Linked DNA regions of Caenorhabditis elegans. The protein of the gene in region 3 purifies or fractionates together with the protein of the main gene of each other region. This does not show direct contact. Each region holds a gene or a part of one and is shown on either strand. Other genes may lie near its edges. The genes, in order: rab-5, ttr-15, gly-8 and clec-137.

The links.
Region 1: the proteins of gly-8 (region 3) and rab-5 fractionate together in Caenorhabditis elegans (co-fractionation; one large-scale study listed by BioGRID). This does not show direct contact.
Region 2: the proteins of gly-8 (region 3) and ttr-15 fractionate together in Caenorhabditis elegans (co-fractionation; one large-scale study listed by BioGRID). This does not show direct contact.
Region 4: the proteins of gly-8 (region 3) and clec-137 fractionate together in Caenorhabditis elegans (co-fractionation; one large-scale study listed by BioGRID). This does not show direct contact.

What each region holds. Positions count from the first base shown.
Region 1 is NC_003279.8:9,305,349-9,312,787, forward strand, and holds rab-5 (small monomeric GTPase), read left to right. Parts: upstream 1-3,093; 5' UTR 3,094-3,096; coding exon 3,097-3,187; intron 3,188-3,483; coding exon 3,484-3,572; intron 3,573-3,775; coding exon 3,776-4,087; intron 4,088-4,287; coding exon 4,288-4,422; 3' UTR 4,423-4,873; downstream 4,874-7,439. Other genes in the region: nmat-2 (Nicotinamide/nicotinic acid mononucleotide adenylyltransferase 2), read right to left, coding at 503-868, 1,075-1,198, 1,243-1,352, 1,400-1,471; uev-3 (Ubiquitin-conjugating enzyme E2 variant 3), read left to right, coding at 4,981-5,041, 5,406-5,544, 5,592-5,766, 6,027-6,233, 6,629-6,802, 6,856-6,952, 7,039-7,256; F26H9.5 (putative phosphoserine aminotransferase), read right to left, coding at 7,421-7,439.
Region 2 is NC_003281.10:10,334,490-10,341,886, forward strand, and holds ttr-15 (Transthyretin-like protein 15), read left to right. Parts: upstream 1-3,357; 5' UTR 3,358-3,383; coding exon 3,384-3,528; intron 3,529-4,513; coding exon 4,514-4,761; 3' UTR 4,762-4,951; downstream 4,952-7,397. Other genes in the region: mev-1 (Succinate dehydrogenase cytochrome b560 subunit, mitochondrial), read left to right, coding at 1-349, 403-501; Apoptosis regulator ced-9, read left to right, coding at 683-934, 983-1,243, 1,775-1,924, 2,412-2,591; T-box transcription factor tbx-9, read right to left, coding at 5,576-5,932, 6,359-6,511, 6,569-6,644, 7,070-7,362.
Region 3 is NC_003281.10:11,620,219-11,628,735, forward strand, and holds gly-8 (putative N-acetylgalactosaminyltransferase 8), read left to right. Parts: upstream 1-5,023; 5' UTR 5,024-5,024; coding exon 5,025-5,131; intron 5,132-5,417; coding exon 5,418-5,496; intron 5,497-5,551; coding exon 5,552-5,655; intron 5,656-6,177; coding exon 6,178-6,430; intron 6,431-6,507; coding exon 6,508-6,641; intron 6,642-6,687; coding exon 6,688-6,846; intron 6,847-6,893; coding exon 6,894-7,011; intron 7,012-7,626; coding exon 7,627-7,779; intron 7,780-7,824; coding exon 7,825-7,983; 3' UTR 7,984-8,017; downstream 8,018-8,517. Other genes in the region: ceh-91 (Homeobox domain-containing protein), read left to right, coding at 1-230, 998-1,330, 2,422-2,715, 3,418-3,570, 3,626-3,673; Y66A7A.7 (IMV envelope protein), read right to left, coding at 8,168-8,292. UniProt on the Caenorhabditis elegans protein: Potential glycopeptide transferase involved in O-linked oligosaccharide biosynthesis. In contrast to other members of the family, it does not act as a peptide transferase that transfers GalNAc onto serine or threonine residue on peptides that have been tested.
Region 4 is NC_003280.10:4,614,723-4,621,226, reverse strand, and holds clec-137 (C-type LECtin), read left to right. Parts: upstream 1-3,136; coding exon 3,137-3,304; intron 3,305-3,356; coding exon 3,357-3,468; intron 3,469-3,523; coding exon 3,524-3,782; intron 3,783-3,833; coding exon 3,834-4,008; 3' UTR 4,009-4,075; downstream 4,076-6,504. Other genes in the region: clec-139 (C-type lectin domain-containing protein), read left to right, coding at 543-661, 707-813, 858-938, 990-1,065; clec-138 (C-type LECtin), read left to right, coding at 1,427-1,561, 1,610-1,721, 1,811-2,066, 2,125-2,299; clec-136 (C-type lectin domain-containing protein), read left to right, coding at 4,694-4,822, 4,877-4,988, 5,046-5,304, 5,361-5,550.

The DNA.
Region 1 (7,439 bases), on a different chromosome or scaffold from region 3:
CAATTCAACCGACAGCAATTTCTATTCATTTTAAATAGATAAACGGTATTTTGGTACTTGTGTATTATTTCCCCTCATTTTAAAATAATAAATTTTAAAAAAAGTTTTTGTATTTTTGGCTTAGAAATTATGTACACAAGTACCGTATTTTTAGTGTGGGGGTACTGTGGGATTACTGTAATATTAATTTGAATACAGAATTTTCTCTGAAGTGAGACAAGGATAGTGTTTGGTTAGGGAAGAGGTACTGAAGGATTACTGTAGTTATTATTTTGTAAAATGTTCAACCGGTTTAGTGTTGTATTTTCTGTGAAATCTATCAATTAATCAGCATTGAAAGTCATTTAAAATTCTATTTCAACAGCGAGACGCAAGAAAAAAACATGATAAAGTCAATTCAATCAGACCGCAATTTTTATTCGATATTTTGAACAATGCCATTAATTAAAACCCGTAGCATTTAAGAATATATTCAAAAGTATATATATTTAACAGTAAAAAATTAAATTTTCTGATACAGATTATTCTCCCTGATAAAATTGATAACCTCATCTGGCGTCGAATATTTTATGGATTTTTTATTCATAATTGCGGCTCGAAGACGTGTTGAACTAACTCCACTGGGACACACTTCATCTTTCACTTGAATTATTCTATCACAAAATTCGGAAATTGCAGGCATTGATTGAATTGTGTTCAATGGATTCGATCCTTCCCGTGACAAAACTATTAATCCAAATTCTGTTATAATCGTTCGAATATCACTGGAATTCCAAAGATTTGATCCATCGGGAAGAATTCTTGTGAATGAATCTACTACGTCACCTCCGACGACTAACATCATACCGACGTCTGATCCAAATTTCTCCTGGAAATAAGAATTGATTAAGTTTTAGTTTTATTAAGGGGTTATGATTGGTGATAGCAGAATATTGATATTTTAAAAATATTTTTAAAAACTAAGTTTCTAAAAATGCTCAACTTTTGAAAATTTTCGCGATTTTTTGGTGTGTGAAACTTCCCAATTTTAATTCCCTTTCGGTTTTTTAAGTTTTCAGAAAAAAAAGGGCGAACCTGAACAAGTTCTCTATGATGTCTAAGAACATCAATTGTCCTTGTCCACGTGGTTCGAGTACATTCCCAGTCATCGGCTCGTATCCAATCAGAACTTTTTGTGGCGGCTCGAACCATTTGAATGCTGAATTAGAACATTTTTTATCAAGTCTTAAAAACTTTTTCTACCGAAAATTAGATTTTATAAGCGTTGGTTTATTGTTGTATGAATCAGCAACGGGACTCATTATTCCTTCAACAACTTGTGTATTAATCGTTTCGAGATGTGACCTGGCGACCTGAAAATTCATATATCATACATTTAATGTTTTTTTTATTTGATTACCTCAAGCATACGTAAATGTGCAATTGTTGGTGGATTGAACGACCCGACGGCAAGAAGAGCGACTCGTTTCATCGTTTTATCACAATATTTATTGAAACTGAAAAATATTTTGTTTTCTTCTGAGCTATTTAGAACGAAACGTTTTTGAAAAAATATGAAAAATATCGAGAGTGATCAGAAACGAAAAATTTTTTTTAAAAGTGTGTCAAAAAATGCAAGTCAGGTGGAAAATCAGGATACGTTTAGGAAATTTCTTATTTATTGAACCTTTTATTCACAAAATCGACAAATTTTTATGATTGGGAAATATTAAAATTAAGCATGAAACAAATTTAAAATGAGAATTTTAATGTGAAAACATTCTAATACAGTTTACTCTTAAAGGGACATGGCTCAAACAAAAAAAGTTGTCTCGCAACGACTCAGCTACAGTAGTCTCTTTTGAATTTTCTTGAATATTATTTGAGACCCGAAGAACTCGGGGGATGTCCAATTGGGGGGATTACCAACTCGGGGGATTGGCCCCGCCCACAGAACCGTGGCTTGCAATACGCCCATTTCTGCAACTGCCGCACGGTTTTAAAATTATTTTTTCTTGTTATTTCTCGCTCTATTGAGAAAAATACAGTTTTAAAACCGTGCGGCAGTTGCAGAAATAGGCGTATTGCAAGCCACGGTTCTGTAGGCGGGGCCAATCCCCGAGTTGGTAATCCCCCCAGTTGGACATCCCCCGAGTTCTTCGGGTCTCTATTATTTCACACTTTTTCCGCTTAATTTTGCGCGTTTTTTTTAAATTTAGCCAAAAATTACCGGAAAATAAAAGTTTTTCGAAATGAAAAATAATTTTCATCAAAAATGTAAAATTGGCCTAGCGCGAAAAAATATAAATTCGAAAGCGCGCGCACCGAAAAGCCTCCTCCCGTTTTCATCCATTTTTGTCTAACTGTCTGCGATGTCACACAAACATTGAATACTCAGTCAACTGCGCCCGTCACCACCCCAGAAGGTACGCAGCCAAATTGGCTACCCCCGACGAAGCCCGTGTGTGTCATCGATGTCTGTTGCGCAAATATTTCTTTTTTTTAGTTTTATTGATTTTCATATATCCTGCAATTTAATTCGTTCACTACTTTTGGATGCTTCCAGAAAACTAATTTTAATCTCAAACTTCATCAAAACTTGAGAAAAAAGTTTATCAATTAATCAAATTACACGTGATGAATAATATGCAGAGATAAGCAAACTGAATTGATGAAAATAGTGATCAAAACCCGTATTTCTTTATCGATTTCATCACAATTTCGTTCCTCGTGAGACACCCGTATGAATCAATAATACGCTTGTTTACCACTCTTCAGTCTCTCGCGTGCCTTCAATCTTTTTCGGAAATTGCTCATTTCAAATCAATTTTTCCACTTTTTAAGTACAAGGATTTTTAGAAATTTTTCTAGAAATTTCAGGGATTCAAAATTGTTTTATCAATGAGAATTGAGATATAGAATTTTAGTCGAACATTATTTTTTTTGTTCTTTCTGGAAAGAAAAATGCAACATTATTTCTCTTTGAAACCATTTTGATATTTTTTCAGCTGAATCCTCCCTCATATCGTTTCCTATGTGAAATTATGCTTATTTTTTGCTTGTAATTTATTCGATCGATTTTTAATGTAATAAATTCAACAAATTTGTATTTAGAAAATGGCCGCCCGAAACGCAGGAACCGCCCGGCCTGGAGGTCCAAACAGAACGTGCCAGTTCAAACTCGTTCTTCTCGGAGAAAGTGCTGTAGGTGAGTTGATACTGAAAATGGAAAAAACCGCTAAAGGTTGGAGTAGAAAATAAAAGCAAACAAGAACAGTTTTCCAAAAAATAAAGATTTTTTTATTCTACTCCGTTCTGTCTGTAGCATATTTCGCAGTTGCTGAAAACCGTCACAAAATTTCGAAATTGCGTTGATTTCGAAGTTTAATTCTTCGTCTTTTGATTGTTTATATGTTTAGAATTATGGGTCATCTGATAGTTGCTAGCATATGACGTATATGCTCTCTTATTTCACCTAAACATCACAGAAAACTATCATTTCAGGCAAATCATCTCTCGTATTGCGATTCGTCAAGGGACAATTTCACGAGTATCAGGAGTCGACTATAGGTGCTGCGTTCCTCACTCAAACTGTGAGTTTTTGAATTTTTTGTGAAAATATAACAATTTTCCCTAATTTGAACAAAAATTTTGACTAAAATGAAAAATCTCGAATTTTAATAATATATTGTTTTTTAATAATATAATTGCGGAGATTTTTGCTCGAAAAACACGGATTTTATATTGAAAGACGTAAAAACGTTAATAATTAAGAATTGAATTTTCGAAATTTCAGGTGTGCCTTGACGATGCAACAATTAAATTCGAAATCTGGGATACTGCAGGACAAGAAAGATATCATTCATTGGCACCAATGTACTATCGAGGAGCTCAAGCGGCTATTGTTGTCTACGATATTACCAATCAAGAATCTTTCCAAAAAGCGAAAAATTGGGTAAAAGAACTGCAGCGACAGGCATCTCCAAATATTGTGATGGCATTGGCTGGAAACAAGGCTGATGTTGCCAATAAGCGAACTGTTGAGTATGAAGAAGCTAATGCTTATGCTGAGGACAATGCTCTCTTGTTCATGGAGACATCTGCGAAGGTACATTAGAAAATTTGGATTTTGACAATAAAAACATGTTAACAGAGTACTGAAATAGATCAAAAACTAAAATTGTTATTAAAAATAACAATAAACTTTGTTTTCTGCGAAGATAGTTTTTGAACTAATCTCCATTAAAAAATGAATGAGAAATTTAAGATTTCCAATTTAAAATCAATTCTCTATTTATTTAATTACAGACCTCAATGAACGTGAACGATATTTTCATGGCAATAGCTAAAAAGTTGCCAATCGGACCAGCACAGGGTGAACCAACGGGAACTGTCGATATGAACCAACCACAACAGCAACAAAAGGGTTCATGCTGTAAATAAATTGACGACTTTTTCATGTACCATCAACCCTTCTAGCTCCGCTCCTCTTTTGTTCTATATATCTTTTGAATCCAACGCCTGTGATCGTCGTCATTGTTTTCCCCTCGAAAAAAAAACACTTTTGAACAAGTTTTTTGTGCTCGCTTTCTTTATTTATTTTCACTCTTTTAACCCATATTTTCTCATTTTTTGTATATTTCTGACTAATGTTCAGCCAGTGAATGAGCTTGCACAATTGGCTCTGCCCATTTGCTTTTTATATGCGAAAACTCCCATTTTTTCATTCAAATGTTCCAATTATTTATTGCTTCTCACCATCAACATCCAAGTCCCGAACCCCACCATCCCACTGTTAGTACTTTTCTCGTCAAAGTTTCACCACCTTTTTGTCAATTTTTTTTCAAAATTTTATAGCATCCTTTCAGAATCTATCCGAATAAATTGAAGTTCGAAAATGTATATACTTGGTAACACAAAACCCTTCGTATACGATCGATATTAGATATTGAATTCAATTTTCTGAAAAACAACAAGGTGAGAATTATTTGAAGAATACAAATGTCCGATCAACCTGGAACAAGTAGACCGCCTCTTCGAGCAGAACCAACGCCCACAAAAAGTAAATGCTTTTCAAATCAATTGAATTCAAAAGAAAGTTAAATTTAAAAATTAAATAAATTTACTTTAAAATATACAAAATCATCTGAGATTTTTTAATTTTTTTAAATTTTTACATTCATTTTTTAAATATGTATCTGATTTTTTTTTCGAAAAGCAATGAAAAAGTATGGAAAATTATTTGAAACTACAGTACTCTTTAAAGGCGCGCACCTTTTTATATTTAACAATAATTTGTCGTGTCGAGACCGGGTACCGTGCCTGTAGTGAAAAAACACAAAGAAAATAGTTCTGTAATTTTTGTCATCAATTTTAGCTTTTTAAATCAAACTTTCTAGTAGGAACTTTGAATTTTTAATTTTCAGCTGCAACACGTCGACGTGCCCGTCCAATTGCAATACCATCAGATGAAACTCCACGGAATGAGGTTACATTCCTAAGACCATCAGAAGTTCCACAAAGAAAACCACTTCCAGAATATCGAGAACCACAACCACGAAAAACGTAGTCACATTTAAAAAAATCATTCTTAATTTTTAAAACATTTTCAGAGTTCCAAAGAATGTTCCACTTGAAGATCTTCATAATTATCATCGGGAGGAGTGTCTAAACGTTAGCATTCCACATTTTATAAATACAGAAGATCTTATCAAAGAATCTCAACGTGTCAATGGTCTCATTTCATTTCGAAGCACAAATTTTGTGGATCCTTCTGTTATTTTGAAGGTTTTTATTTAAATTATTATTTATTTATTTGTTTTAGATTTTAACGAGAAAAAATCAGCCAAAAACGCATCTGGATATTTTTTTCAAAAATTATTTTAATGAGAAAAATATGAAACAAATATTTTTTAAAAGAGTATTGAGAAATGACCTAACATTTTTTTGCAAAAAAAATCAAACTGAAAATTGTTGCTCTCCAAAAATCAGAACCCACTTGAAGTCAGAAATATAAATATTTCTCCTAATTAAAATTATTTTTACAGGAAATAAAGAAAAAAGAAGAGGAAACTGTAACATTAATGGACAACGACAAAAATTCTATAATAGACATAGTTGGAGATGGAATAAACTACGAAAAATTGAAGAAAGTCGAGAAATCCCTCTGCCAGATTGATATTATCACCGAATTTATGAATAGAAGTCGACATTTACAAGGAAAAAAAGTCAACGGATGCATAATGAGAATCGACGTACGGTTTATGGTTTTTGGAAAATTTCAAAAAAAAAAATTCAAAATGGATTGACATTGCCTGACTTTTCCACCACAAGAAAATGTCAAATTTAAAATTATTTTTTCGGATTTTTTTGTAGAATAATAATAATAATTTTAAGTGATAAAATTACTAAATATCATAGTTTAAAGTTTCAAAAAAATTTTAATGCGATTTCTATTTTTTTTTTAATTTTTAAGAGTTCGGCTATGATATTTAATTTTTTTAGAATATTTTGAGAGTACTTATAAATTTATGCAAAATACCTCTAAAAATAACAAGAAACAGTAAACATTATATTTTTCGCAATAAACAGTTTTTTAGCCAAATCTGAGTCGACTTTCTGTTTTTAAAAAATTTGAGTAACTTTTCAGGAAACGAAACAATTATTATTTCATGTAATAATTGATGGACCTGTTGGAAGTATCTATGAAGGTGGAACATTTTTTGCCGATATTAACATCCAACCATATCAAAATCATTCATTGATTCCAAGAGTTTGTTTTCACACATTTATATTTCATCCGAATCTTGGGAAATATGGAAACGTAAGTTTAAAAACCTAATTTTGAAAACATTTAAATTTTTTGCAATTATTCAGTGGGACATGCGTGGAATTCAATGGGAACGACGATCCAATTTGGAAGTTTTATATAATTTTATTGTGGAAGGAATGCGAAATGTGAAATATGATATTGGTAAATTCTTTCTACATTTATAAGACATTTTAAACTACTTGGCTATCTAAATATCAACTAAAAAATTAAATTATGAACTCTTCCAGAACGTAGAAATCTTGCTCAATTGGAAGATATGTCACAACCGAATATCTCGCGGCTTGCTAAAGAGGATTGGCCGAAATTCGAGCGTACAGCCCGGGAATTTGTAATGAAAATGGCCGGAGGAACTATAAACGGACGCAAGACAATTTTTGCTGAAACAAAAAAAAGGAGAAGACAAGATTTTCTTGATGAAGACATTGATGTCATTGGAATTTCATAGTTTTCTGTTTTTTTTAAATAAACAAAAAATGTTAACCATTATTTATTGGTTCTTAAAATCACTTTAAAAATTCAAATACAAACAATCAAAAAGGCACATGAAGGTTTTTAAAAATCACAGACAAATTCAGAATAAGAATACAAGAAAAATATAGTGTCTCCCGACTAGTTAGTATTATGGAGT
Region 2 (7,397 bases), 1.3 Mb from region 3:
GCCAATCCAGAAGTTCGGATGGGAATACCTGTTGAAGCAGCGCTCCAAGAATCGCCCAATCGCTCCACATCTCACCGTCTACCAGCCACAATTGACCTGGATGCTCTCCGGATTCCATAGAATCAGCGGTTGTGTAATGGCCGGAACCCTTCTCGTCGGAGGAATCGGATTCGCAGTTTTGCCGTTCGATTTCACCGCTTTTGTGGATTTCATCCGTAGCTGGAACTTACCATGCGCGGTGACCGCTGTCTTCAAGTACATCATTGCTTTCCCCATCATTTTCCATACTCTTAACGGAATTCGCTTCTTAGGATTCGATTTGGCTAAGGGAGTCAATAATGTTGGACAGGTAGGAGTTGAAATTATTAATTTAATTGTTTTAAAATAAAAATTAATTTTCAGATCTACAAATCGGGATATCTCGTATCTGGACTTTCGGCTATTCTTGCTCTCGCCATTGTCTTCAACTCTTGCCAGAACAAGAGCAACAAGACTGCCTAGGCACAGATGCTCCGCCTTCTTTTTTCTTACTCCGCCCCAGCCCTCGACAATTCTCGTCAATTTACTTTTACCGTTGATTTCTTCGATTTTCTCTCTTTTCCGTAGATTTACCTCTCCTCTTCGTTTTTTTTTCTCTGTCTAGAATGTATATTATGATTATGAAAACGAATAAAAATTTTAGATGACACGCTGCACGGCGGACAACTCGCTGACGAATCCGGCGTATCGGCGACGAACGATGGCGACTGGCGAGATGAAGGAGTTTCTGGGGATAAAAGGCACAGAGCCCACCGATTTTGGAATCAATAGTGATGCTCAGGACTTGCCATCACCGAGTAGGCAGGCTTCGACGCGAAGAATGTCCATCGGAGAGTCAATTGATGGAAAAATCAATGATTGGGAAGAGCCAAGGCTTGATATCGAGGGATTTGTGGTAATTTTTTAATTTTTTTTTGTAAATAAAATTTCCTGCTGCTTCCAGGTCGACTATTTCACGCACCGAATCCGGCAAAACGGAATGGAATGGTTTGGAGCACCGGGATTGCCGTGTGGAGTGCAACCGGAGCACGAAATGATGCGAGTTATGGGAACGATATTCGAGAAGAAGCACGCGGAAAATTTTGAGACCTTCTGTGAGCAGCTGCTCGCAGTGCCCAGAATCTCATTTTCACTGTATCAGGATGTGGTTCGGACGGTTGGAAATGCACAGACAGATCAATGTCCAATGTCTTATGGACGTTTGGTAAGGGAGAAAATACTGAAAAAAAGTTTGCAAAAATTCGAAAATTCGCCAGAAAGGTGGCAGAAAAAACATTTGCAAAAATTGTTTGTTTTCCTTCAGGAAATCAGCAAAACTTGGTCAAAAATAGCCCAATTATGTGTCTTTTTTGAAAGTTTTCCATTAAAAAACCACGAATTTTGATCCCGGATTGTAATTTTTTTTGTTGATAAATTAGCAGAAAACTTTACGAATTCGATTAAAAACGTTATTTTCTATTCGAATATTTTTAAAGCATATTTTCCTTGATTTGTATTTGCGAAAAAGATCTGCTGATTTATCAAAAATCGGTTTTTAAATGTAAAATTTGTGGAAAATACATTAAAATTCGATTTTTGAACTTTTTTCTTCGAAAAACAGGTTTTTCTGCTGATTTGCTGAACGAAAAACCCCAAAAATTCAATTTTCGAACATTAAAAACCAGAAAAATCGTTTTTTTAAGCTTAATTTTCCGCCAGAAATGAACGAATTAAATTGCAAATTTCTAATTTTCAGATAGGTCTAATCTCGTTCGGCGGTTTCGTAGCTGCAAAAATGATGGAATCCGTGGAACTGCAGGGACAAGTGCGAAACCTCTTCGTTTACACATCGCTGTTCATCAAAACGCGGATCCGCAACAACTGGAAGGAACACAATCGGAGCTGGGTAAGGAGTATTTGCATAGACATTAGAAGTCAATATCCCCCTTTCCCTAGTACCCTTGACTTCCCGGGGTGTTGGTAAGCCGATAATTACAGGGTTCGGTAGCCTCTTGGGGGGACAGCTGGAAACATATTCAAGTATATTACTGTTTATGATAATGTTATTGTTACGGGAATACAAAATTCGCAGAATGCGTATTTCACAACATATTTGACGCGCAAAATATCCAGTAGAGAAAACTACAGTAATTCTTTAAATTTTTAAAATTTTTACAATTAAAGAAAATAACCACTAATCAAAAGAAATTAATTTCAAAAATCGAGCCCGTAAATCGACTACAGTAGGCATTTAAAGAATTACTGTAGTTTTCGCTACGAGATATTTCCGCCTCAAATATGTTGTGAAATACGCATTCACGGATTTTTGTGTTCCCCGGAATATGCTCTAAAGCATTATTTGTGAAAATAAAAAATCAAGAAAAAAATTGCAGGACGACTTCATGACACTCGGAAAACAAATGAAAGAGGACTACGAACGAGCAGAAGCTGAAAAAGTGGGACGCCGGAAGCAGAACAGACGGTGGTCGATGATTGGCGCTGGAGTAACAGCTGGAGCCATTGGAATCGTTGGAGTCGTCGTGTGTGGGCGGATGATGTTCAGCTTGAAGTAACGTATTCAATTTGTGTAAATAATTAATTTATGTACAACTCCTTACATTTGAATCTCATTTTTGCTCACTGATTCTCTCATCCTTTGAACTGGAAGAAGTGGGAAAGCTAGGCCACAAATTACGGCTCTCTGTGTCGATTTACGATTTTACTGCAATTTTTTCCGATTGCCTTTTTTTTTGGCCAAACCCTACTTCCGCGTAATATCAACTTTTCCGTGTTCTGTACATTTCGTCAAAAACCCTGAAACCCTAACTTTTCTCGCCGTGGCCTAGCCTCCCGCTTCTCTTCCACATTTCCAAAGTACCCCTGTATCTCAATAATTCATCTTCACTTTAACTGTCTCTTTTCGTGTGGCCTCTTCCAACTCCCCCCAAATTCCTGTACGCGTACGCGACTTTGTATTTATTTTTTTCAAATTGTTTTCTCTCTACAACAACAAAAAAAACGGTTCTTTTATTCAACCCTTTTTTCGGAACGAAACTGCAATTTTGATAATAGGCGTGCGCAAGAGAATCCGGTTTTCATTTTCGCCATCACGTCATCCAAAAAAGTTTAGTAGGAAAATATCATTTTTTAATATAATGATTCATCTTTCTCGCCTCTTCTGTCTCGAGACGACGGTCAATTCGATGGCCTTGAATTTTTCGAAACAAAAATGTTTTTGTTTAGTGTAAACGATCCCCCCGCCTTATCGCTGTTTCACCATCAGATAGGCTCCGCCCATTTTGATTCCCTTGAATTTTGTCGGTATATAAAACAAAAAACGTTAGTGCACGATTCAAAAAACAACAATGCGTGCTTTACTATTCACCTCTGTTGTTCTTTTGGCTTTGGCTTTTGTTGAGGCAAAGAAGCAGACTATCACTGTCAAGGGTACAACTATTTGTAATAAGAAGAGAATTCAGGCGGAGGTTACCCTTTGGGAGAAAGATACTCGTGAGTTTTCAGTCTTGTTTAGCTTGAAACGGCTTAAAAAGGACTAAAAAGGCCTAAAAATTGAAGTTTTCCACCTGTTTTCAAAAGAAAGCCGAATTGCACAGCTTTACACGAGATTTCTCAATAATTTGTATTTGAAATTTTCATATTCATCCCCAAACGTTCTTTACACGAAATTTTGCGATTTTTGAGCTTAAAATACGATACCTGGTCTCGACACGAAACATTTTTGTTAAATTCAAAAAGATGTGCGCCTTTAAAGAGTGCTGTAGTTTGAAACTTCTGTTGTTGCGGACTTTTCATCGATTTTTCGTAGCGTTTTTTTATAAGAAAAATGTATTTATTTATTCAAAAATTTAATTTTACCGAATCGCGAAAAACAAAATGAAGAACACCGATAAAAATATCGCAGCAACAATAGTTTGAAATTACAGTACTCTTTTAAGGCGCACACATTTCCATATTTCACACAAACTTGTCGTGTCGAGACCGGGTATCGTCATTTTGATGCAGAAATCAAGAAAATTGCATATATGTTCAAAAAACCACAATTATGGCGAATTTCAAGCTTGAAACGAAAATTCAGGAAATTCTAAAAATTAAAAAAAAATCATTCGAAATGTGAAATTTGATATTCAACTTGAATGCCATATGGCAAATTTCTGTCTATTCCGCTTTTCGATCATTTTGTTCCACGTGGCCGCGAAAAGAGAAAGCACGACCACTGATTTCTGGCAATTTTTTCCTGTACCGTGTCAATTATTTGAAACTCTAATAAGCTGGTATTTTTCTGCTATTGACAACTAACTGAATCCATAATTTGCAATTATAATATTGACTTTTGATGTGTGGCTTAGAAAAAAAAAACCAAAAACCTCATCTAGCTTTAGGCTGCCAATATATTCCTAGGACATATAAAAAACCCTTAAAATTCTCTGCAACACCTACAAGCTATCAAACGTACTATTAGTATTCAATTTTCCAGTCGACCCCGATGACAAGCTCGCCTCAATGCAATCGAACAAAGAAGGAGAGTTCTCACTTACCGGATCCGACGACGAGATCACCTCAATCTCTCCATACCTCATAATCACCCACAACTGCAACGTGAAGAAGGCCGGATGCAAGCGTGTTTCAGAGTATTTGATTCCAAAGGAGAAGATCGGTGGAACCTATGATATGACATACGTCACTCTTGATATTCTTTCCGCTAAAGACAAGGAGAAGTGCTAAGAAAATGTTTTTTTTGTTTGTTTGCTTGTTTGGAAGGGAAGGACTTTCTATCTCTTTTAATTCAACAATAAACTATTGGAAAACCTTGAAATTTTAACCTTGAACTGTAAGAAAAGTTGCGTGATTATGTTGACAATTTTGCCAAGTATATCTTTGTGGATATCACAATAAACGAAGTCAAAGCACGAAATATTACGGAAACACAAAATTAATGAGAATGCGCAACATATTTGACCGCAAAATATCTCGTAGCGAAAACTACAGTAATTCTTCAAAAGACTACTGTAGCGCTTGTGTCGATTTACGAGCTCGATTTTTGAAATGAATCAGACTAGAAGAAAAGGAGGAAAATATTGAACATCAATTGAACATCAATTCAAAAAGTCGAACCCTTGACTACAGTAGTCTTCTAAAGAATTACTGTAGTTTTCGCTACGAGATATTTTGCGCGTCAAATATGTTGCGCAATACGCATCCTCAGAATTGTGTGTTCTCGTAATGTCTTGAAAATTTTCCATTTCAACATCAAATAAGCAAATCTAAAAATGTGGGTTCTGCAGCGACCACTATGACTGTGATCGTGGCAAGACCCACTCAGAAAACTACGTGTTCCTTTAAACAATACATTTTTAAGTATTGTAGGTATAAAAATTGTTGGCTAGCAGTCTAGGCTGCCTTTTTCAGTCGACAAACTTCTAATTTAATCGGCGGGTCTTCAAAAAGTCGTTTCTTTGAAAATATAAAGCTTTATATATTTATATATTAAAAATTTTGATTACATGATATCAAAAGCGACCAGTTTGCATAAAAATTATCAACCAACAATATCAATATCTTCTTCTACCTCCTGATCCTCCTCCTTCACAATGCTCAGCTCACTGCTCGAGCTGGAAGGAGTCGACGGGAGAGGCGAGAGAAATGGAAAAGCGAATGGAAATTGGACTGGAAGATTTTCAGATAACATATGGGGAAAATAAAAAAGAAATGGGTTGATTGGAGGCATCGACTGAAGAGGTGCGACCTCCGGTGGTGATCTGGATTTTGGCGATGGGGACTGTGAGTTGCTGCCGTCGGAATATGATGGTGATCTTCTCTTGCGACTCAAGTTCCCGTCACGGAAACCTTTGGCAAAACTGTTGTGCTTGATTTTCAAGTCGGTGATTTTTTGGTTCTGAAATGAGGAAAAATTAGGTTTATTATTCAACTCTCTCTATCTTTGAAAACAAAGAATCTATTAAGAAATTGTTAAACACCATATTATGGATCACAAAGCGAGCAATATTTTTGTAGTTGACAACTTTTATATAGCTCTTTTTATTGGCGAGGTAGGAGTGCTTAAAGTAGCGCAGTTTCAAATTTATAAATAGAGCCAAATTTTGAGCAAGTGTAACTCTCCTTCTTTTAACTCTATTAAAAACTTGTCAACTAACTAATTAATCTTTACAACTAGGGTTACAAATTATTAGTTAACGACTTCTTGATAAGTATGATGGTTGACAAGACTTCCCCCTTCCTTCCCAGATTTCCCATTGTTCACAAAATATTGATTCTTCCGAGATAAGATCCATGCGCTAATACTCTTACTCTCAATACTAACCTGGTAAGCCGTTACTGCAATAAACTCGGTATGAGGGAATTTGGCGGTGGCGACGATTTGGTTTGAGGATTGTGGGACGCAGAAAGGGCTCTCCGATGGAGACTCGTAGATTGTCAGCACTGGAATGTACTTGTGCATGCTGTTGAGGTAAATCTGAAATTTCAATTTTAAATTGGAAATTGCCAAGTAATTTTAAAGTTGAAATCCTACCATTGAAGCGTTGTTGGACTCTGAATAGTTGGAGATTTTCACACGATCAAAGCAAATCGAACTCCACATCCAGTCACTGAAATTAATTGGGGTTACTTTGAAGATATAAATTTAGCAAATTTAGAATTATTTTCATCTGAATTATGTTGTCAGTTGACAAACGACAAACTTTGAAAACTTTAATGTTAGATGAGATGTAACCCTCAAAATATTCCAAAGGCATTTGAATGCCAGTGTCGGCAGCTCTAACTCTTCAATGGCTCAAGCTAGAAAAAAGTTGTCAACTGGCAAATTGTAGATGATAAATCAGTTAACAATTTTCCAGTTAACATCTTTTTTAAAACTTCCAAGCCCGCTGAGATATGGCGCTTTGAAGTTGTAATACCAGGGCGGAGCTAAAAAAAGTTGCCAATTGACAAAATGGTTCTCACTATTTTGATAATCATGTCAGTTTACAAATCTTCATAGCTTCTAATCTTCCAATTCCTATGTCACACTCACCTTCCCTTCCGAACTCCATCAGCATGCCACATCTTCTTCGCGTCGACCTGCTTCTCAGCTTTGCCCGTTTCCTGCCACTTTCCACCGCTGAACTTGAATCGACTTTCTCCAACTGGTTGTAATTGGAGCATTATTGCATACAGCTTGTTTTCATCAAGCCCTTCGACTATATATTCCAACTTTGGGAACAACTTTCGGCCGTTCTTCGTGACAATCATCTCGTTGACTTCTGCGTGGAATATCTTCCAGAGAGTTTCTTGGGATCCTTCGATTGATACTTTGACTTTGGACATTTTTTGTCTGAAAACGTTAAAATATATTATGAAAA
Region 3 (8,517 bases):
AGCGATCGATCGAGGCGATTTTCGGCTTTTTCGAGCGACGACGAAATGACGATAATGAAATGTGCACGGGAGATGATGCTTGCTCGAGTTTAAGACGTTATTTGGAAATGGAATTACATCCACATGGACCATTACTTGAGCCACCTGAAATTCGGTGTAGAATGATTAAAATGTTTGAGAAACATTGGGCCAAATATCGATATGTATTCAGAGATCTACATTCTTATATGGTTCAAGATTTTTTTTATTGAAAAAACTGAAAAATTACAAATTTTTTTTAAACCATAAACTCCTAAAAAATTACCTACAAAATTGTCAATTTTCAAAAAAAATTTTTGTCAGATATTATTTTTTTTGTTTGATTTTTTATATTCAAGAAAAACGTTTTAAAAAACCTAAAACAAAAAAAATTTTTTAATGAAAATTTTCATTTTTTTTTAAATCATAAACTCCTGTATTTTTTTTACATACAAAAAATTGTATTCGAAATTTTGAAATTTTAATTTTTCTTTTAATTATAAAAAAAAACGTTTAAAAAAACGATTTTTAAATTTTTAAAAATCTTCATTTCTGTTCAACAAAAACAAGGTGTTTTTAAATAAAGTAATTTTTAAAAAATTCGAAAAATTTTTTTTTGGAAAAATTTTTTTTTTTTTGGAAAATCAAAAATAATTTTTTTTCGGGTAATTTTTCAGGAATTTATGATTTTTGAAAAAAAAAAGTAAAAATTCAATTGTTTTAAATTTTAAATCATTTTTGAAATTTTTTGAAATTTTCCTGAAAAAACGTACTTTTTTTTTTGAAAACTAGATATTATTGTCATTTTTTGAGAAATTTATGATTTTTTAAAATTAAATTTTTTTTTTTTAATAAAAATTGAAACAATTGAATTTTTGTGTTACAAGAAAAAAATTCATGGAATTCAGGCTCAAAAAAATATTGTGAAAAATAAAAAAATTCAAGAAAAAAAAATCCAATTTTCAAAAAATTTTTGCAGTTCTCCGATGCGCTGGGCCTGCCTCCAAAATACATTCGACAACGTTTCGAGCATTTCAAGGAACGAAAGAATCAACAGCAGAAAAAGCAACAAGAAGAAGCCGACAGAGCATTCCGAGAACGTCACAAGCCACCGAAACCACACAAACCAAAACCCAAATCGCAATATTCGAAATTCGAAGATGAAACAATGGAAAAAGCATATATGAGAACTGTGAAAATGAATCCATCTTCATATGAATCCAGGGATCTTCTCGAGTCGATTTCCATTAGTTTACGAATGTCATTGATTAAAGTTCACGAATGGTTTAATAATAGGAAGTTTGTCGACTCTGTAAGCATCCTTTTTTCTGGAAAATATTTGGGGTTTTCTCCGAAAATTGCAATATTTTCAGCGGAAAAAAACTCAATAAAAAAATCCAGTTGAATTTTTCTAAATTTTTTTATTTTTGCGAAACCTCGCTCAAACCCAAAAATTTTCCTAAAAATCGAAAATTTAACATTAATTAAAGTTTAGTTATAATGAATTTTCCGAAAATTGTTTGAATATTTGACAAAATTAGCCCAAAAACGCGTATTACGGGGACACAAAATTTTGAGAATGCGTACTGCACAAAATATTTGACGCGCAAAATATCTCGTAGCGAAAAGTGCAATAATCCTTTAAATGACTACTGTAGCGTCGAAATGAATTGAGCAAAGAGCGAAGAAACGAATTAAACAATTAAAAACCCGTAAATCGACACAGGCGCTACAGTAGTCATTTGAAGGGTTACTGTAGTTTTCGCTACGAGATATTTTGCGCGTCAAATATGTTGTGTAATACGCATTCTCAGAATTTTTGAGTTTCCGTAATTGTTTCGAACTTTTTAAACAATGTTTTCCGGCGAAATCAATCAGTTTTTTCTCCGTTTCATAACCTGAACCATTTTTTTTCGCATTTTTTCCAAAAAAAAAAAACATTTTTCCGATTGATTTTTATCGATTTTTAGGCCAGGTTTATACTTTCAGCGAATTTTCTCAAAAATGTCTTCCAAAAAATAAAGAAGCAAAAATCCCTTTTAATATAGCCGGAAAACGCGGGAATTCAAAAATTATCGAGTTTTTGAAAATACCTTTTTTAACTGTTTGAGGCGATTTGACCAAAATGCATTATTTTACGGTTTAATAATAATACTGATTTTAAAACAAATTTGCTCGTAAAATACGGTGTTTGCACTATTCTTCGGGATCACATGAATGCACCATATTTTACGTGCAAATTAGTTTTGAATATTAATAAAAAAAATATTAGTTTTAAGTTGTAAAATCGCCTCAAATATTTAAAAATCAATGAAAAATATGTATTTTACAGGATTTTTTGAAGAAAAAAAACATCCAAATTCCACATCTAATACATCAGATTTCACCGGAACAATTTTGCAGATAATAGATCAAACGTGGAGAACATTTTCTGTAAACGACGAAAAACGGCTCCATTCGACATTTCTTCAAAATCCGCAACCAACAGATGAGCAATATTGTTATTTGGCGAAAGAACTACGTGCTCCAGTGAAAGAAGTGATGAATTGGTTCAAATTGAAACAAATGAACGAGGAACGCGAGGAAGAAGCGCTGAAATTCGAATATAAGCTTGATGCGCTCACACAGGAAAGCATCGATTTGTTCACGACAATTGTTGATGGAACTACTGTAGTCTCGGTCGCCAAGCGACGATTGGTCAGTACTGAGGGTCTCTCGCAAACGAACTCCCAGTTTTCCCGCCAAAATTGTTTTTCTCTGGAAATTTGAATTTCCCGGCAAAATAATATTTTTTTTTCTCTAAAAATTTGAATTTCCCGCCAAAATGTTTTCATCTCAAAAAATTTGAATTTTCCGGCAAAATAATTTTTTTTTCTCAAAAAATTTGAACTTTCCGGCAAAATCGTATTTTTTCTTTAAAAAAAAGTTGAATTCCCCGCCCGCCAAAAGTTGTTTATCAGAAAATTTTAAATCCCCGCCAAAATTATTTTTCTCAGAAAATTTGAATTTCCCGCTAAAAAAATTTTTCTCTGAAAATTTAAATTTCCCGCCAAATTTTTTTTTCAAAAAAAAATTTGAATTTCCCGCCAAAAAAAAGTTTCCTCAAAAAATTCGAATTTCCCGGCAAAATTTGTTTTTATCAGGAAATTTGAATTCCCCGCCAAAAAAAATTCTTCTCAGAATTTTTGAATTTCCCGCCAAAAATGTTATGAAAAAAATTTAAATTTCCCGCCAAAATTTGTATTTCGAAAAATTCGGTTTTACCGCCAAAAATTGTTCTCTGAAAATTTTAATTTCCCGCCAATTTTTTTTTCAGAATTTTTGAATTTAAAAAATCTATATTTTATCGATTTTTCGAAATTTTTCCCTCAAAAAATTTCTTCAAATCTTAGTTTTCAGCTAGCACTAGAGCTTGACGTTCCATACGAAACACTCGGTCGATGGATCTTCTACTACCGAAATCGCGAGGAAAAAAGCCGGAAATCTCCGAAACTCGAGGATGATGATGATCCACCGCCGAGGCTGGCGAAAATGCCAAGGCTTGAGATGAATGTTAGTGAAAACCTGAAAATTTCAGATTCTAGAAAAAAAATTGATTTTTTTTCAGGAGCCCGACAACGAAGAAGATATCAAACTGGAACCATTGGATTCTTGACACAATTTTTTTTGGCAATTTTTTTGAATTTTTAAAAAAAATTTCTACCGCTCTAGTTTTGTTATTTAATGGGTTTTTGATTAAATAAATGACAACCAATATATTTTCCAACAGAACAGAGAAAAGATAAACATCTCCTGAACACTCCAAAAAAGGGGTACAAGGTTAGTATCGGGAACACCGTTTGAGGCCTTGGCCTCAATTTATAGGAAATTGGCTTTTTATTTTGTTTTTTTATTAAGAAAAAATTTCAAAAATCATTTTGAAATGTAAGAGTTTGCCAGAATTAGGCCATTTTGACTCGGCCGGGGTTGATTTACGGCGCGTTGCGTGTCGCGTCGCGGCTCGATTTTAGTCCGTGTGGAGTACACGACTTTCCCACGCGTTGTCTCCGGCAGGCGATTGTCAATGGAGCGCGAAAAATGCAATGAGGAAAGCCAGGAGCCCATGATGCTACGTGACAAAAAAATTGGAAGAATTAGATTTTTTAGCTATTATAGTATGTAAGAAGCCTGCCCTAAAATCAGTTGCGCGTAAAATCTGATGCAGGGGGGTCGGCGAGCCGCACCGAAAACGATTACATCAGATTTGACGCGTAAATTCTTAGAGTTTCAAAGTTTTTAATTTATATATCGATTACAAAAAACACAAAAATGGTGAATTTTTTTTTTCGAATAAAATGGCCCAAAACCTCAAAGAACAAGTTTGCGCGTAGAAATTGATTTGTTCTCTGCAAACACCGACCACAGTGCATCAGATTTGACGCGCAACATTTTAAATTTCCAGGTGCCACTTGGCTTTTCTTCTGTATTTCGCCCGAAAATTCTGCAAATTAGCAGTTTGGGTGATTTTAGAGCACAAATTATGATATTTCTATTTTATAAAAAATCTCATAAACTCCAACTACACTCAATGCATCATATTTGACGCGCAAACTCAAAAAATATTATAATTTTTTGTTGGATTTGGATAGTCTTCTTGAGATTTTCCACTGGAAAATAGCTGAAAGTTAACTTTTGTTTAAATTATATAAATGGGGCAAATTTTCTTCTCGAACCTTCTCCACTAATGAATTGGTTAATAACCACATCTATATAGACGACAACAGAGTACAAAACCTAAGAGACGCAGAGAAAAAGTGGCGGAATATAAGATGGACCAGTTTTTGTAGGTGAGACATAGAAGACATCTCCGAAAATGCGGAGAAGGTGTGTATAAAAGAAGAAGTCTGTCCGAAACGATTTCTTGTTTTCCATCCCAATTTTTCTTTACTTTTTCATTCAAAAAGAAGACGGAAGTCTTCTGATTGATTGCATGTTTTACCCTTAAATTTTAAGATAAAATTTACAGAATGCGACGCCACGTCGTCCTATCGATTTTTGTTTTTGCCGGAATAGTATTTGCGGCGGAAGAAGCAGAGAAGCTTCCAAAGTGCGAACACGTGGACCCTTATGAGAAGTTGGTTGGCTTTAAAGATATGTATCTCTATATTTCATTAGCTTTTGAAGATATCAAAAAGTTGTTAATTAAAAAAAAATGTTAAGCACAAATTTATCCATATTTTGGTACTTGAGAATTTTTTGGTAGCTAATCCAGTTAAGAAGTTATACGCGCTTAAAGTTTTGAAACAAACTGATAACTTTAAAATCGTGTAACTCCGCGGGAAAAAATGTTTTACTAATTGACAAATTTTTATGACCTTCTATAATTAATAGGTTATCACTCATAAATTTAAAATTTCCAGTTTGGAAGGCTGGTTGGACCTGAAGCCTCTCACCGAGAGAAAATGCAATCACACTTTAAAAGAGAACCTTACTGAAGCTGTAAGTCTACTTCAAAATATTAGTTATTTGTCTAACTCATCAAATATTTTTCCAGGAATCCAAGAAATCCGAATGGGGAATTAAGAGCTTTGCTTTTGATGCTCTATCTTCGGAGAAGCTGGGACCGAATAGAAATGTTGGAAAGCAGGCGCATAAATTGTGAGTCAATAAATTTTCATATTGAAATTTTGATGAGAACTCCAAAAAATCTTGTAATTTCAAAATTCCTTTTTTTGTTAGAAATTCTACGCGTTTTACTGGAATAGAGGGGATTCTTTACGATTTCAGAAATTTCCTGATAGATTTTAAATATTCGTTTTCGATTTATGTTTTCAGAGAATTTGATTAAAACAAGTTCTTAAAACAACACATCTTGAAATCTGAGACTAAGTCTCAGCCTAAGAATAAGCCTAACCTTAACCCTAACCCTAAGCCCAAGCCTAAGCTTAAGCCTAAAACTAAGCCCAAGACTAAGCCTACGCATAAGCCTAAGCCTACGCCTAAGCCTAAGCCTAAGCCTAAGAATAAACACAAGCATAAGCCTAAGCCTTAGCCTAAGCGTAAGCCAAGTTCTAAGCCTTAGCATAAACCTATGCCTAAGCCTAAACCTAAGCCTAATCCTAAGCCTAAGCCTGACCTAAGCCTGAACCTAAGTATCACCCAAAAAAGAGAACTTTTCAGATGCGAAGAAGAAAAGTACGATGCCAGTTATTCCACATCAGTGGTGGTAATTCATCACAACGAGGCTCTCTCTACGATCCTTCGAATGATCAACGGAATCATCGAATTTACTCCAAAATCGCTTCTCAAAGAAATTGTGCTCTATGAGGACGCTTCTGAGGAGGATCACGTGCTCACTAAGCATTTGGAAAAGTTCGCGAAGATTAAGGGACTCGAGGATAAGCTGATCATTAAGAGAAGCGAGTATAGACAGGTGAACATTTGAATATCCGGTAAAAAATGTTCCCAGAAAATTTGAACCTTCCGTGTATTGCAAAATCCAAATTTCAGGGTCTTATCCGAGCAAAGGTTCATGCTTCAAGATTAGCTACCGGTGAGGTTATTGTGTTCATGGACTCCCATTGCGAGGTGGCCGAGAGATGGTTGGAGCCACTGCTACAGCCGATTAAAGAGGATCCAAAGAGGTTTTTTCTTGCAAAATGTTACTGGAAAACCAAAAAAAAATTTCAGCATCGTCCTGCCAGTCGTCGACCTGATCAATCCAGTTTCCTTCGACTATTCTCCATCGATGGTTGCCAAGAGTGGATTCGACTGGGGATTCACGTTCAAATGGATCTATCTTCCATGGGAATACTTTGAGACGCCCGAGAATAATGTGAAGCCTTTCAAGTAGGAATATGGTGCATTAGTAATAGGGAATACGGGTTATTTTTCAGCTCCCCAGCCATGCCAGGAGGTCTTCTGGCGATGAGGAAAGAGTATTTCGTTGAGTTGGGAGAATATGATATGGGAATGGAGATTTGGGGATCCGAGAATATTGAGCTCTCGTTGAAGGTGAGTCATGCGCCTTTAAACTATGTGGAGGCGAGGTTGCGCCCGACATATCGCGGGCTTTTTTGGAAACCAGAAATTGTCGGACGTGTGCGACACCTAGCGGCTCTCAACAGAGCTTAGTGGCGGAACTCATAATTTGTCGGCTGTTGGACAAGCGCGACACCTAGCGACTCTCAACATAGCTTAGTGGCGGAACTCTTAATTTGTCGGCTGCTGCGGCTGGTGCGACAACTAGCGGTTTATGGGCCGCGGTGGAACCCAGAAATCGTCGGCTGCACTTCTTTGTTGTTCAATTTTTTCAGGGTCAGAGTTAAATACAAAAATTGGTAAATGATTTGGAAGACGCATTTCTTGAAAAAATTTTTTGTATAAAATAGTGTTTATCCTTTTCCGACGTTTTTTTCCGAAAAAGAGAAGAAAACATAGCCCGACACCTTCCGGGGACCCCCGCTCACATGGCGTAACTCATAATTTGTCGGCCGCAGGCAAAATACGCGCGCCCGACATTTAACCGGTTTCCGCCACTGCCAATTACTCAGCGCGCCCGACACTTCCAGAGTTTCGCCACTCGAGCCCGTCACTTGTCGGCCGCTAATAAAATCACCCATTTTCCAGGCTTGGCTCTGCGGCGGACGTGTCGTAGTTGCTCCTTGCTCACGTGTCGGCCACGTGTTCAGAATGCGCCGCCCGTACACCTCAAAGCCAGGAATGGATACCGCTTTGTACAACGCGGTCAGAGTTGCCAAAACGTGGCTCGGCGAGTATGAGGTTTGTGGTTTTTTGTCATGAAAATGAAAAAACGCCAATTTTTAGTCCAAATTCTTCGCTGTAAAGCCACGTGGCGCAAAGATGGTGTTCGGAGATTTGACAGAGCCAATGCAAGTGAAGGATCGTCTCAAGTGCAAAGATATGAAATGGTTTATTGAGAATGTTTATCCAGAACTTGAGCCAAAAGTTCATGATGAACTATAATTAGTTAACGTATTTTAATAAATATTTTGAGTTTTTTTAAAATTTTTATTTTCAAAAGTCAGTATCAAAATCAGAAGCAAAATCAACAACCAGGAAAGAGGAAATAAGAATCACATAGAAATAAACCCATTCAAATGTTTAAAGGCACATTAATAAATTGTACAAATCTGATGACGTCATCATCTCAAACTCGCTGACTCTTCATCGGGCTCTGAAATGGGGTTGTCGAGTTGCTGGGGCTCCCGCTGCTCAGCTCTTTATACTGGTATCGTTGATTGTATTTGCCATAGAAGAAGCCGGCGGTACAGCCTGGAAAATGGTACTACTTAAGAATTTATTGATGCACCATGCCTTGAAAAATTGTTTACGAAAATTTGTTCGAAATTTCAGATAAAAAATTTTGCGGGAATTCAAATTTTCTCAGCAAAACTTTGACGGAAAATTCCAATTTTCTGAGAAAATTTTCGGTGGGAAGTTCAAATTATCTGAGAAAAATTTAGTGGGAAATTCAAATTTTTTGACAAAAATTTTGGC
Region 4 (6,504 bases), on a different chromosome or scaffold from region 3:
CTTACCTACTTTTCAATTGGCAGTTTAAATCTAATAGAAGGGTTTCGGTTGTGACGAAAATTTTTTTGTAGACATGCTGTTTTTCTACGTGGAATTTTTTCTAAATTTTACTGAAACTAAATACTTCAAATGACAAAAAAAGAAGACAGTAAGTAGGCCTGTAGGCAGACAAGTAGAATAGGGCCTACCCGCCCTTCTCGTCTCTTATTAAAAATACGATCGGCGTGATGCCATTTTACAAATTCTCGCAAGCTGAACAAACACCTGGAGGCAGCGATTAGCATTCGTACTATTTTGGAAAGCGAATTTTCTGGTTTTTTGAAAAATTTGGAAAATGTGAAAAAATAGAGCCGGCGGCTAAAACTTTTCTGAAAGTTATGTATTTACTAACATGCTTAAAGCCAATCACTGTTATCATTTATCAAACAAATTATGTAAATGCAACGTCATTGTTATTGAATGTAAATGCTAAAAGGCACAACAAAGCCGACAGAAACTGACAAACAACTTTTAGGCAAGTTAAAACTGAACACAAATTTCAGCTTTAATTCGAAAAAACAATAAACGAGTCGCAGTGGACGGAGTGTTCAATCCAAAATGCCGAGGTTTCAGCGACTGGCGAATGAGAAAGTTTGGAGGACTTTGCGCAAAAGAAAAAGAGGTTTTTGTTTCGAAAAGTGTGTTTCAAGTATCCCGATCGTTTTAGCTATTTATTCTGGAGGACGATCACACCGATCCAGCGTTCATTCTCACAAAGTGGTCTGGAGAACCGCCAACTTCATCAGACAAGTATCAGGAGAAGGGGGACTCTACGTAAGGAACCCAGTGGGATAAAAGCTTCATGTTCTAGTTTTCAGAGAAATTTTCACAATCGCTGAATGTCTATCTCTACATAATCTCCAGGCAATCAAGAATACTGGAAATTTGAAGGATTTTTTGTGAGTTTTTTTTTTGCAGGATTTTCAAACCCAAAACTAAAAAAATTTCAGGTGCGGCGAAGAACCAGACAAACAAGTCGGCGAGGTGCCATTCTTCGGAGTTCTGTGTGGATGTGCTCCAGTATAAAATTATTTAACTAGTGCCAAATGTATAAACAATTTTTGAATTTTTTGAAGATTTTTCAGAGAAATCTGTCCTCGAGGCACAATATAAATTGTTCTTACAATGTATGCCTAGTTTGAAAATGTATATCATGACTCGATTTTTTTTGTGTTATAAAAAATTTTCCCTCTAGAAAAAGTTGAAAAATAGGTAGAAAAATAAAATGCGTCATTTCCGCCCAGCCCCCGAGATACCGTATCATTTTGATGTATTCGGGGAATAATGGTTCCGCAGAAACGGAATCATTGAAGGGATGTACAGCTTTTTTATAGCTTTTGACTAGTACAAAAGCATACTGAAAGCTTCTTCTTGAACTCTTCATAACATGTTAGTTTTATTCTTACTATTCTTGGTTGTTCCGGCGGTTTCTGCAAAGGATCCAAGATGCCCAAAAAACTTTACTTTTGTCAAAAGAACACTAACTTTTAAGAATAATTTTACAAAGGGGTGGTGCTTGGGGGTACGTTATTGATAGAGACAGTACCCAGTTTTAAAATACACTTTCAAGATTTTCAATGGAACGGATGTGGGAAATCGTGACCGAGCCCGCTCAGTCTGTCTCTATCATAACGCTTCGCTGAGCAATCCAGAAAATTCACATGAACTTGAGATTGTTTCTGGTAAGTTGATCATGTTTTTTTTTAAAGACATGTCTTCAATTCAAAATCGCTAGGAAAAATATGCTTCTAAATGTGTAATTAATTTTTAGACGTTATTCGCGCACGGAACATTTCCCTCCCGATTGCACTCGACGGACAACTCTCTCCAAGATGCAAGGCCCTTATTTTCAGAGGCGAACAGAGCCAACAATATTTTGACCAAAGAACAGAGGAAGGAGATTGCAATATTAACAATCATTTGTTTGTATATGATGATATCAATACAGATACTTTATTTATCCGTTCCAAACTAGGTACTTCGGCTGGAACTAATGGAGGATACTCCAGTCAGGAGGACGGAGTAAAGTAAGTGTATGAAAATTTCTAGATTCAACGTCAAACAAGTCTAGAATTCAATTTACAGATTTCGTTTCACCAGAGATTGTAACGCATTAACAGATGCATACTATTACTTTTCTAATGGAACACATTTCTATGCGGTAGATGGACGAACTGAATTGCTCGGATGCTTTGGGGAAAAGGATAAGCAAAATAAACACGAATATAGTAGTGTTCTTTGTGGAAGATTCCCTCTCTGAGTTAATTGATCAGAAAAGACAGTTGTTAATAAATATTTTGGAGTTGTTGTTCGAATTCATCACTTGTGATTATATCAGAAAATACCAATTTTGCAACAAACATCAGTCGAGGATATGCATAATTTTCATAATAAGTATTTTTTGATAGCTAAAGATTGGAGCTAATCATATTTCAAAATTTACAGAGACAGGACTATTTTAAAAGTAAACTACCCTGTAACAAATCAAGAGTTTCGAAGCTTGAAATCAAAAAAAAACTTATTCTTGTAAATCATTTTATATTCTACCTCGGAAGCCGACAAAAGCTTGGTTTTAAAAAATCTAGCTTCAAAGTCTTGTTTTCAACCACAAATGTTTGTGTACATAAATTTTTGGATAGGTATCATAACAAGCAAGAGGGCCTTATGTTAGTCATAGGCTTGCACTCAGTTGCTCAATTTTGACGGCTAATAACTAGGTTGTGTTTTGTTTTACCAAAAATTATAAGCTGACAAAGAATGTGTTACAAATTTCTCTACAGTTTTGGTGTTAAATGTTTTTGATAAAAGGGCTGAAAATGAGGGTACTTTTGTTAGAATCTTTATTAGATCAGATATTTTTTTGTTTCAAAGCGCATGGTTTCAATATTCTTGACAACTTCTATCAACCTACGTGTTATATAAGAATTTCTTTGAATGAAATCATCCAACCTGATGAAGAAATATAATGCGTCGTTTCCGCTATCCAGCCCCGAGATACAGTATCATTTTGATGTATTCGGGGAATAATGGCTCCGCAGAATCGGAAACGCTACAGGGGGCGAACAACTGTTTTATAGCTTTTGACTAGTACAAAAGCATGCTGAAAGCCTTCTATGAAGTTCAGTATAAAATGTTAGTTCTATTCCTACTATTTTTGGCAGTCCCAGAATTTTCTGCGAAGGATCCAAGATGCCCGGGAAACTTTACGTATTTCAAGAGAACACCGACGGCAAAAAATAACTTTACAAAGGGATGGTGCTTGGGGGTAAGTTGTTCATATCAATGACACCTAAATAGTTTTAAAATGATATTTCAAGATTTTCAATGAAACGGATCTGGGAAATCGCGACCGAGCCCGTTCAGTATGTATCTATTACAATGCGTCGTTGAGTATTCCAGAAAATTCACACGAACTCGAAGTGATTTCTAGTAAGTTTTTGAGGATTTTTTTATTGCTGCATGCGGAAAAATGTAAAATTTCCAGAGACTGCTAGCTTGAGAAACATTTCCGTACCAATCGCTCTTGATGGACAACTCTCTCCAAGATGCAAATTCGCAATTTACAAAGGACAAGTAAAGGGTGCAAAACGATTTAATCAAACTTCTGAAGAAGGAATTTGCAATATTAAATATGAATTGTTCATATATGATGATATTAATACGGATACTTCATTCATTCGCACAAAGCTAGGTGTTTCGGCAGGATCAAACGTAAGAAGTGTACAAGCTGATGATGATATCGAGTAAGTTTTGAAAATCGACTTTCCTATTTGCATCCAACATTTCATTTTCAGGTATCGCAGTACAGCAGATTGTACCGTTTTGGAAAAAGGATCGTATCACTATTCTAATGGAACACTAAAAGATGGGCACACTAATTTGATGGATTGTATGGGACAGCTAGCTGGCTCCAAGAGGCTACCAGAAAAAAATGTCACCGCCGTTCTTTGTGGCCGATTGCCGTTCTAAGTAAATGTATTCTATCATTTCTGGAAAGATTAATTTTCAATATTTAATAAATATTATATTTCCGAAATCTTTCTGATATTTCTTATTACCTTAGCTGATTGAAAAGATAAGGTACACCCAATTTGTTTCCGCAAGTGAACTTCAGGTTATTCTTAGGCGACGAAAATCCCTGTGCGGGTTTACAATTAAATCATTTTCGCAACGAAACATTTCCTTTTACAGAGTTTTGACAAGTGTGTATACCATTTTTGTAAACTAAAAGTCAATTAATTCATCTTAACTTTCGTCTCGAACTTTTCGTTTTTAAGTTCCATCTTGTTGATAATACGGCCTAAAAATTGTAAAAAATTTCTCAAAGCTTCCTATTTTCTGTGTCAAGAAAAATCGGAGAGCTCTACATTATCTCTTTTTTGGCTTCCGGAAAACTTTTAGAGTAAATTTATAATGTATAATTTATGATAAACCTCAAGAAAATAGGTACAACAAGCATCTGCTACGTCCAAATCAAAATGTTTAGAAGAATAAATACTACGGTAGAGCATTTTGTGGGTGTTGTTGAACATCACGCTTTTGTTGAAACGATCAAATGCTGTCGGAAAATAATGGCTCCGCATGGCTTAGTCACAATTTTATCGATTTCAATAGGTACAAAACCCCGCCGAAACTTTTCAAAACTGACAGAAAAATGTTCGTTTTCTTTTTGCTATTTTTGACTGCGGTTTTCGCAAAGGATCCACAATGCCCAGAAGGGTTTTCTCATGTCAAGAGAGTCCCAACTGCAAGGAACAATCATACAAAGGACTGGTGTTTGGGCGTAAGTTCCAAGTTTTGGGTTTTGTGTTCATAATGCTTTATGACCATATTTCAGGTTTTCCAATTCAAGAACATGGGAAACCGAGACCGAGCTCGATCATTTTGCAGTTATGTGAACGCTTCATTGACCATTCCAGAAAATGAGCACGAGATTCAAGTGTTTTCTGGTAGGGATATTTTTCAATAAAAACATTTTCAGTGTTGTAATCTTCAAAAACTTTCAGAAATCGCCCGAGCTCATGGAATTGAAGCTCCTTATGCTGTTGACGGTCAAATTTCTCCAAAATGCAACGGTCGTATTAATAAAGTCGAAATCATACTTCGTCATCGATTCAACAGTACAGAAGAAAAAGGAGATTGTAATATCAAGAATAATCTATTTTTGTTCGATGATGTCAATAGTGACACTACATTCATGCTGAGCCATTACAAACGTCGACTTCCAGCTGCTTATATGGTTCATCAAGCTGACAATGGTCCAATGTAAATTAGACATAATTATCAAATAGCGTGAAATCATAAAAAATCAAATATTACAGATTCCGATTCGCCGCTGATTGCATTGTTCTAAAATCTGGAATTGTCAAGGCTAATGGCACAGAAACAAGAAAGAATTGGGGAAGTTTGGAGTTTTGTGTGGGAAAAAATGCAGTGCAGGCTTATACAGACGATGAAAAACCATATGGAAACGACGTGGAAGCAGTTTTGTGTGGAAGACATCCACTTTAATTGTTTTGAGAAACTTATAAGAAATGTGGGTCCTAGAAATGTGATGCACCTTGTCTTTAGTTTTGATTGAAAATTGTCAGCTGAAAAAATAAATTTCAATTTTTTCTATAGTTTTGTAACTTAGTATTAAAAAAATAACATTGAAATTCCCTACAAAACAGTGAAAACTGTAAAAAACAAAAGCGAATAAAAAAAATCTCGAGTCTCGTTTCCCCCATTATACATAAGTACATCAATCCCTATCCTTTCCAACATAGAAAAAAAACACGACACGGTCTATATGATGCGAATATTCGGTAATACGCGATTTAGAGATGATGGAGGAAATAGATGGGACTGGATTTTTTGTCAATTTTTTTTTACAGTGATGATGATTAACTTTTTATGGTTGGGAGGTTTTTCACTGTATTATACATATATATGAATGGTTAAGCAGGAAATGGGGGTTAAAGTAAGTGTGAAAGGAGAAGCCTAGTGACATCAGCAACAGAAGATGCCTGCCGGTGTGCCTTCAAGGCAATCTAGGCCTACCTCGTGCCAACAAACTCCTGAAGTAGGCCAGACAGGTTCGAGGTATGTATGTAGGTAAGCACACATGCCTGGAGCTTAATGAAAACTTTATGGCAAGAAAATGATCTAAACACATGCCAAAATACACTAAACCCCAAAAAAACGGGAACTTTCGAGAGGCCCAGCTGAGAGTTTAACACATTTTGTTGAAAGTAATGTGGGTTTTATAGGAAATCTCTAGCGATCAAACACTCCGAAAACTTTTGAGTTTCATGCATCTTTTTGTGACGTACTGGAAGATTTGAAAAAATTGGAAAAATCAACTGGCAATAAGACGTTTAGAAAAGATGATTGGCAAAAAATGAAACTGAACATTCAAGTGACCAAAATTTGCCAAAAAAAGGAAAAGGAAACATTAATTTATAATTGAAAGATACTTAATCT